Linked DNA regions of Bombyx mori. The protein of the gene in region 1 purifies or fractionates together with the protein of each later gene. This does not show direct contact. Links are inferred from orthologs where the notes say so. Each region holds a gene or a part of one and is shown on either strand. Other genes may lie near its edges. The genes, in order: sec1 family domain-containing protein 2 and syntaxin-18.

Region 1 (3,835 bases):
TGCACAGTGCACCTTGAGAATAACTTTTAGATGAGGTGACAAGCAAAATGTCACGCTTATGCAATGTCATGTTACAATGAGTGAGTGAATAAGAGAAAGATTATTATCGAAAATAAGATGTGATGATGTAAACAAGCAGACAGAAATTGTAGTTAGCAGTAATACTTTTAGTATTCTTTTGCTCTAAATAGACAGAGGAGATCATGGCAAACTGTCTATTATATAATGCTGGAGCTTGCAGACATCATAATGAGAGTCCTACCTTGAAACATGGGGTTCAAGTTTCATTGTCTAGCATAAACATTGTTCAAAACGGAGATCTTGTTTGCGATACCTGCGAGTTTAGTTTGTGGCCCTTAATATGTGCTAATGTGTGCTCCTGTAGTACATTTAATCTTAGTTGATGATGACTTTGTTTTTTTTTTTTATTGCTTAGATGTGTGGACGAGCTCACAGCCCACCTGGGGTTAAGTGGTTACTGGAGCCCATAGACATCTACAACGTAAATGCGCCACCCACCTTGAGATATAAGTTCTAAGGTCTTAGTATAGTTACAACGACTGCCCCACCCTTCGAACCGAAACGCATTACTGCTTCACGGCGGAAATAGGCGGGGTGGTGGTACCTACCCGTGCGGACTCCCAAGAGGTCCTACCACCAGTGAAAAAACTAACAATAATTGTATATCAGTATTACTATTAACATTGGAACCTCTGGGTCTGCGGAGGGACTTTGGATGCCTCTGTATTTTGTACCGTGTGTTCCATGGGGAGTGCTCTGAGGAATTTTTTGAGATGATCCCCTCATATCCTTTTTATCGGGAGGTGCGATCCCGTCATCGGAGCAGAGTTCATCCATATTATCTGGAACCGCTGCGTTCATCGACAGTGCGTTTCCAAAGGTCTTTTTTTGCCAAATACCATCCGGCTATGGAATGAGCTCTGCTCCACGGTGTTTCCCGAGCGCTATGACAGTTCCTTCTTCAAAAGAGGCTTGTGGAGAGTATTAAGCGGTTGGCAGCAGCTTGACTCTGCCCCTGGCATTGCTGAAGTCCATAGGCGACGGTACCCACTCACCATCAGGTGGGACGTAAGCACGTATTACTACGATGGGCAATAAAAAAAAACATTAATATGGATAATCCAAAGTACATTATTAAATGTTACGTATATTAAATGATAATAAATGTGTTTTTATACCATCGATATATTATTTTAGAATCACCCATCCAGATGACCTACAACTAAGCCCGGGCTGTCTCTACCACGCGAACGATGATATATGCACACAAACCTTTGAACACATGCTAAACAAGTCTCAAAAGGAAGTGATGTTTGATTTATACAATAAATTGTCAAAGTTGGACGTACAGCGGTCACCGAGTCCCAAGACTCTGCTCAGGGTTACTCCACAGAGCGTCGACAAGATCGTTACGGCGGCTAAAGGTAATTTTCATTTTATATGTTAGGATATACAAAGAAAACGTGTTAAAAAATAATAGTTTAAAAAAACTAACAAAATACGCTTTTATAGAAAATCCAACTATAAAAGAGAAAAATAATTTTAATAAATTTGATTTAAAAATAGTGTAAGAAAAAATGATTTTATTGTAAAAAAGCGTATTTTGTTAGTTTTTTTAAACTATTATTTATTTTTCATTTTTTAGTTGAATAATATTTTTTTTCAATTTTTTGTTTATCAATATTTTTTTAGTATTGAATTATCATCGGTCCTTAATAAGTAAACCAAATTTCGAGTTAATCCGACGTTTTCAAGGTGTTCAAAATCATGTTCCGTTCAGATTCCGTTACAGACTGGTGGTAGGACCTCTTGTGAGTCCGCACGGGTAGGTACCACCACCCTGCCTTCTTCTGCCGTGAAGCAGTAATGCGTTTCGGTTTGAAGGGTGGGGCAGTCGTTGTAACTATACTAAGACCTTAGAACTTATATCTCAAGGTGGGTGGCGCATTTACATTGTAAATGTCTATGGGCTCCAGTAACCACTTAACCCCAGGTGGGCTGTGAGCTCGTCCAACCAACTAAGCAATAAAAAAAAAGGCATACACACGTCTGAAGCTAATAAAAGCGTATTAAAAATTATAAAACTCATTACAGGGAATTATGACGTAATAAGCAATCATCTAGGCATACTACAGCTGGCATTAGCCGTCGTACAAACGTTGAAGTCGCCGAGACGAGCTCAATTGGAACTCCTGGCGAGCTTAGAGAAACAGGTCCTTCAGAATTTGGGTGCCAGCCGAGACTCCACTAGTGTTTTGCAACAGGTGCGTTGTTAGTACTTACTTCAAACGGGCAGCTGAGTTGATGGTTTTCCAGGTGCCATAAGGTTCGCAGAGCATAGATACTACTATATAAAGCTCATAATTTTAGCTTGAAGATTCAATAATAACAATTTAAGTAGGTCTACAAATAATGACTGTTTAGTAATTTTTTACAAACCTGTACTACAGTATAGTTTTGTAAACTGAAAAGGAAACTATTCAGTACTAGTAGATAAGTTAAGTGTTAACCGATTTTTGGTAGCTATTGTGAAGTTTGAATAAAAATCATTAACTAAAAGAATTCTGGGAACAGACACAAATAAGTTTTGAAAGTTTTTATTTATTTTACCTTCTTTCAAAATATTTTCAGATGAGTACATTAATAAAATCCCGTAAAGAACGCAATTTGCCTTTGGATAATCTGCTCGCGTTAATCATTCACATATACTCTCTCGGCGGTACTGAAGTCACATTCTCAAAAACTCATGAACAGGATCTAATTGAGGCTCTCAGTGTTGCCATGTTCGAAGATCACAAAAGCTTATTTCCTCAAGTTGAAGGGCATATAGTAACACCGGAGGAATGTGATGAGATTTCTCAAAAAACATTGAAGCGACTAAAGGAAATAGCATTGATGAGGAAAAATTTGCAGAAGTATGTTTTTTTTTTAATATTCTTTCAATATGCAAACATTTGTTTAATAGTTGTTTTTTTTTCACTCATTGTATTAGAAGAAAATCTTCTGGGTCAGTTTCTACAAAATAAAGCAGGCACATATTAAATCTTAATAAAAAAAAAACAGCAATGCATTTAGATTTGTTAAGCAAACCCATAGATGTGTCTCTTCAAACTGTAATGCATGAAAATTTCCGACAGAAATGGAAATGTTAATAATTAAAACTACTTTCGAGGTTTACTTAACCTTTACTAGCGACCCGCCCTCGCTTTGCTTCGGAAACTGTAATTTATTATTGATTTCTCCACTATTTAATGGATGTTATTATACATATAAATCTTCCTCTTCAATCACTCTATCTATTAAAAAAAACCGTATCAAAATCCGTTGCGTAGTTTCAAAGATTTAAGCATACATAGGGACAGACAGATATAGGGACAGAGAAAGCGACTTTGTTTTATACTGTGTAGTGATTAGAAAGCATAGTGTTACCTATTCATCCGACCTCATCATATAGTTAACCACTTGTATTCTAAATACAATTACGTTTCTAAATACACAGATACAACTCGTTAATAAAGACAAGCGAGACAGGAATCGGGCACGAATACCGCGGCCTGTTACTGCAGCTAGTCGATGACCTCGTGGACACGGATAGACCAGAACTAACAGACCTGCGACACAGAAATGAGGGTATCAAAGATTTGCTGAGAAGCGGCTTGAAGTGAGTATAGTTTTAATGTATATGGGGCTCTCGTGCGAAGTGTAACAAAAATCATTGGAATAACAATTACAGTAAAAGCTTTTAATTTGAATACAGAAACCGTGAATATGGAATGTTAATGGGGCTCACACGTCATTTCGGATCCTCCCGATT
Region 2 (3,935 bases), on another chromosome or scaffold:
CCTCAGGGAAACACATTGATATATGTTTTATTACAGCTGAATTTATATGCATCTAGGTCTTGAAACTGAAAAATAAACAATCCCCAGGTCCCGGGGTTGGAACTTGACAGTTTGGACTTTGACGTTTAAATAGATAGTCCAAGAGAAAATAGCACATACAGCCAAGTTAGTCGACTGGTAAAAAACCGAAGTTATATTTGTAACTAAATTAATAAAATAGTGGTATTTTTAAAATAATATAGATGGTACAACGTTAATTAACAGCATTTTCTCATGTTATCAACTAAGATTCATATAAGTTAAAGTTAGTAGCATAAGTATAATAGTTAGTTAGTATATGTATAGTTGTATTTTAAACAACTAAAAAAATGTTTGGCTAAAGTATAGATCGAAACTCTAGCAATAATAGTGTATATTTTATATAACCGATAGTGAAATATTTGCGTATTCACATAAAAAAACATAAGAAGCCTCTGATAAAACGTGTTTATTTAAAGCGAAAATATTAACATCATTGATTCCAAAATTTCAATTAAGATCATTTTATTATCATCAAAACTGTTCCTTTTTTTTGTAAAATTATCATTATTTAGAAAATGAAACACAAAACCACCAGTAACTACTAAATTTAATCATTATACCAATCTAGGAACAGCAAACTGAACGACATGACCAGTAAGAAGAACAGAACATATACTCTTAGGCCTGCGTTTCTTTGTATAGCTTGCTTAATCTGTTCATTGGCATCCTTAACGTTTTCAGTTGCCCCGACAACTGTATTCGATATTCTATCTATGTCTTGTTCTTGTTGTAAAACCTGAAACATATTTACACTTTTTACATTTTATGTCAGACAAACTGTTTGTATATCTCATTATTAAAAGCTACCTGCCTACCGCTACTGTTAATTATACTTTTACAAACAGTAATATCAATTTGAATCTAAATAAATCAATTAAAGTATCATGGATTTGAAAAATTTATTTACATCCAATAGTTTACGTATGAAAGAACATCCAAATATGAATATTTTAAGATCAAGATAGTTATGATATGTATGTACCAGTATGTGCAATTTTATAAAGATATAATACACAGACTATAATAAACAACATTCATCCTCTCTGGTGGCAGATATTCTTAACCGCTACTGTTAATTATACTTTTACAAACAGTAATATCAATTTGAATCTAAATAAATCAATTAAAGTATCATGGATTTGAAAAATTTATTTACATCCAATAGTTTACGTATGAAAGAACATCCAAATATGAATATTTTAAGATCAAGATAGTTATGATATGTATGTACCAGTATGTGCAATTTTATAAAGATATAATACACAGACTATAATAAACAACATTCATCCTCTCTGGTGGCAGATATTCTTTTCTTGTAATCTGTTTTTTTTTTTAAATGGCTTATGTATTTATTCAATTTTAACCTTTTACCTTTTCAGTAAATATTTCTTGAAGTTCTGCAATGTGTAGTACTTTGCTTTCAATTTGTTTAACTTCTTCCGTCATACTGTTTAGTTCATTTAACAGCTGTACATTCTCCGACTCAAACATTTGCAACTCTTCTGAAGTCAACTCTCCTTCATCAGACATAATTGCCATCTCATTCTCTGATAAGTCTAATTTTGTTTTTGTATTTTCTTTTTCATCTTCTGTCTCATTCTCTTTTTCTATTACCTTATCTAGTGTAAACGGATTAGGAATACTAGATTTGGTCGCTGGTAGCTCAAGTCTAGACAATTTTCTCATATCTAAAGCTCGCTTAACTCTCATTGCTTTCAATTCACTATGCACTTTACAAACAGCTTTTAAATAAGCATCAATTAAATCTACGACTGAGTCCATATATTCCCTAGTTTGTGGGGTCACTGTAGTTCTTCGATTATCATTCCTGAACTCTTTTAGCAGGTGTGAGCATGTGTTCATGATACGTTGCGCACCGGTGTCTATTTGGTCGCGCTCTTCATCAGACATATCGTCTCCAGTAACATTATTGAAGAAGCTTAAATATTTATCGCGGTGTTCCAATAAAAAGTCCCTAAGCTTTGTAATTTGTGAACAAATATCCTTAGCTGTTGCCATGAAAGCATTTTTTGATTTCACCCTCAATATGCGTTGCTTATCTTCGCTAATCGGACTGTGTATGCCGAAAGCCTTGTTACGAGTTTTAACAGTTTTTATGCAAGCCTTAAATAATGGTGTTATATCCATTTTAAGAGGATTTGTTTATGTTTTAAATGTTTTTTCCTTCAATAACACGTAAGTTTTACTCGTTTTTGACAAATTGAATTGACAAATCAATAATGTCCTCACAGAGTAGACACTAACCAAATTCTCTTTTTAAAATTATCCAATTGAAAAGGCAAAGTAAGCATGGCTTTAAGTAGTAATAAATATTTTAATAGTAATAAATATTTTAATCTGTGATGGCTACATGGACTTTTTGGCGGGAACACGTGGAGTGAAGTTGTGTGATTTGTTTTATTTTGTCTATTTAGTGTTTCTTCATGTTAGAACTGGTCTTCTTGCCATCCAACCATCTAACCATCATAAGTTTATTAAGAAGAATAGTTGTTGCCTAGCATTAATTAGTTAGTCGTATAATTTTATGTGAAAAAATAAAAAGTCAGTATGTACATCCGAAGAAAGTTATCAGGTCATAAAATCCCTTAAAAAAATTATTATACACAATCTGATCTGAAGTCTTTTGCTCGTAAATTTACAGTAGCCGAAAGCATTTCAGATCGAATGGAGACGGAAGAGAGACAGAAATAAATGTTACACCACTCTATAAAGCTTCTGTCGCTTATACAGGGTGCCCTAAAAAATAGTGTCAAGCCGAAGTCCAGAGGTAGAACATCACTAGGGCTATCCGAACCACCCCCATGTACGTTCCGCGATTTTTAATAGTTTTCGAGTTATGATTTTTTAAATATATTTTTTTATTTCTATGTTAAGGCACTTTTTTGCTCACTGTGGCGAGAATAGATAAGGTACATGCCTGATATTTGAACACTTGCTTTTTTTTAAAACTCGGTTTCAAAGTTTAGAAAAAATACACAATTTTTAACTTTTTTGTTTCTTTTTTTTATTAGGTTTCACATTTGTGTTATAATGTATGACATATCAGCTATGAGAGCTTCGCTCAGAGCGTGGTGCAGCAGACACGATCAAATTTAGGTCTGTTAGAGAACTGTCTAAGCATGAAGATGCTTAGACAGTTCTCAGTTCAGTTGGGTGAATTGAATTTAATTCAGTTCAACTGTTGGAGTTTGAATATAAATGTAATGGCAGGCAGCACTTGACGCATGATTACAGATTTCGAATATTAGAATTATTTTAAACGTTTAAAAAACAGATGATTGTATTCTCGTAAGAAAAAGTCAATACTTCTAATCTAGACACGGTCAAAGAAACATGTAAGAAGTTTTATAAAAATATAAAGATAATAATTTTAAAATGGTGTTCAAACTATCTGCAATATAATTATAATGAAGCAGTGTGTTTTTAAATAGCCCTCCATCACCTACAGAACCCAATCACCTCAAATTTAACCATCCAACATCAACCCATTGAAGACAGAGATTTAAAAGATATATATACAAAGGCAATAAAAAAAAAAGATCCACTAACGGTGCTTTTAAGTAACCCAAGCACCGGTCATCATTCTTGGTGAACCCGACGCTCGCGACGAAGGGCTCGGCGAGTAAATTAACCCACAGACACAGCCCACTGAGTTTCTCGCCGGATCTTCTCAGTGGGTCGCGTTTTCGATCCCGTGGTAGATTCTGCGAAGCACGGCTCTTGCCAGGGTTCGTGTTAGCAACGTCTTCAGGTTTGAGCCCCGTGAGCTTAGGTGAGCTAGCCTGGTGACGCTGACATGGTCTCTCTCGACAATCAGCTAAGGTAGGAAAAAC

What was found.
Region 2: the proteins of sec1 family domain-containing protein 2 (region 1) and syntaxin-18 purify together in Homo sapiens (co-immunoprecipitation; 3 studies listed by BioGRID and IntAct, counting the BioPlex papers as one, with this or other methods). This does not show direct contact. The link is inferred for Bombyx mori from reciprocal best matches to the Homo sapiens genes SCFD2 and STX18.

The regions. Positions count from the first base shown.
Region 1 is NC_085114.1:11,520,101-11,523,935, forward strand, and holds part of sec1 family domain-containing protein 2, read left to right. Parts: intron 1-1,218; coding exon 1,219-1,445; intron 1,446-2,115; coding exon 2,116-2,285; intron 2,286-2,652; coding exon 2,653-2,936; intron 2,937-3,520; coding exon 3,521-3,682; intron 3,683-3,835. UniProt on the Homo sapiens protein: May be involved in protein transport.
Region 2 is NC_085127.1:13,549,824-13,553,758, forward strand, and holds syntaxin-18, read right to left. Parts: upstream 2,370-3,935; 5' UTR 2,230-2,369; coding exon 1,453-2,229; intron 818-1,452; coding exon 629-817; 3' UTR 611-628; downstream 1-610. Other genes in the region: cotranscriptional regulator FAM172A homolog, read right to left, coding at 35-52. UniProt on the Homo sapiens protein: Syntaxin that may be involved in targeting and fusion of Golgi-derived retrograde transport vesicles with the ER.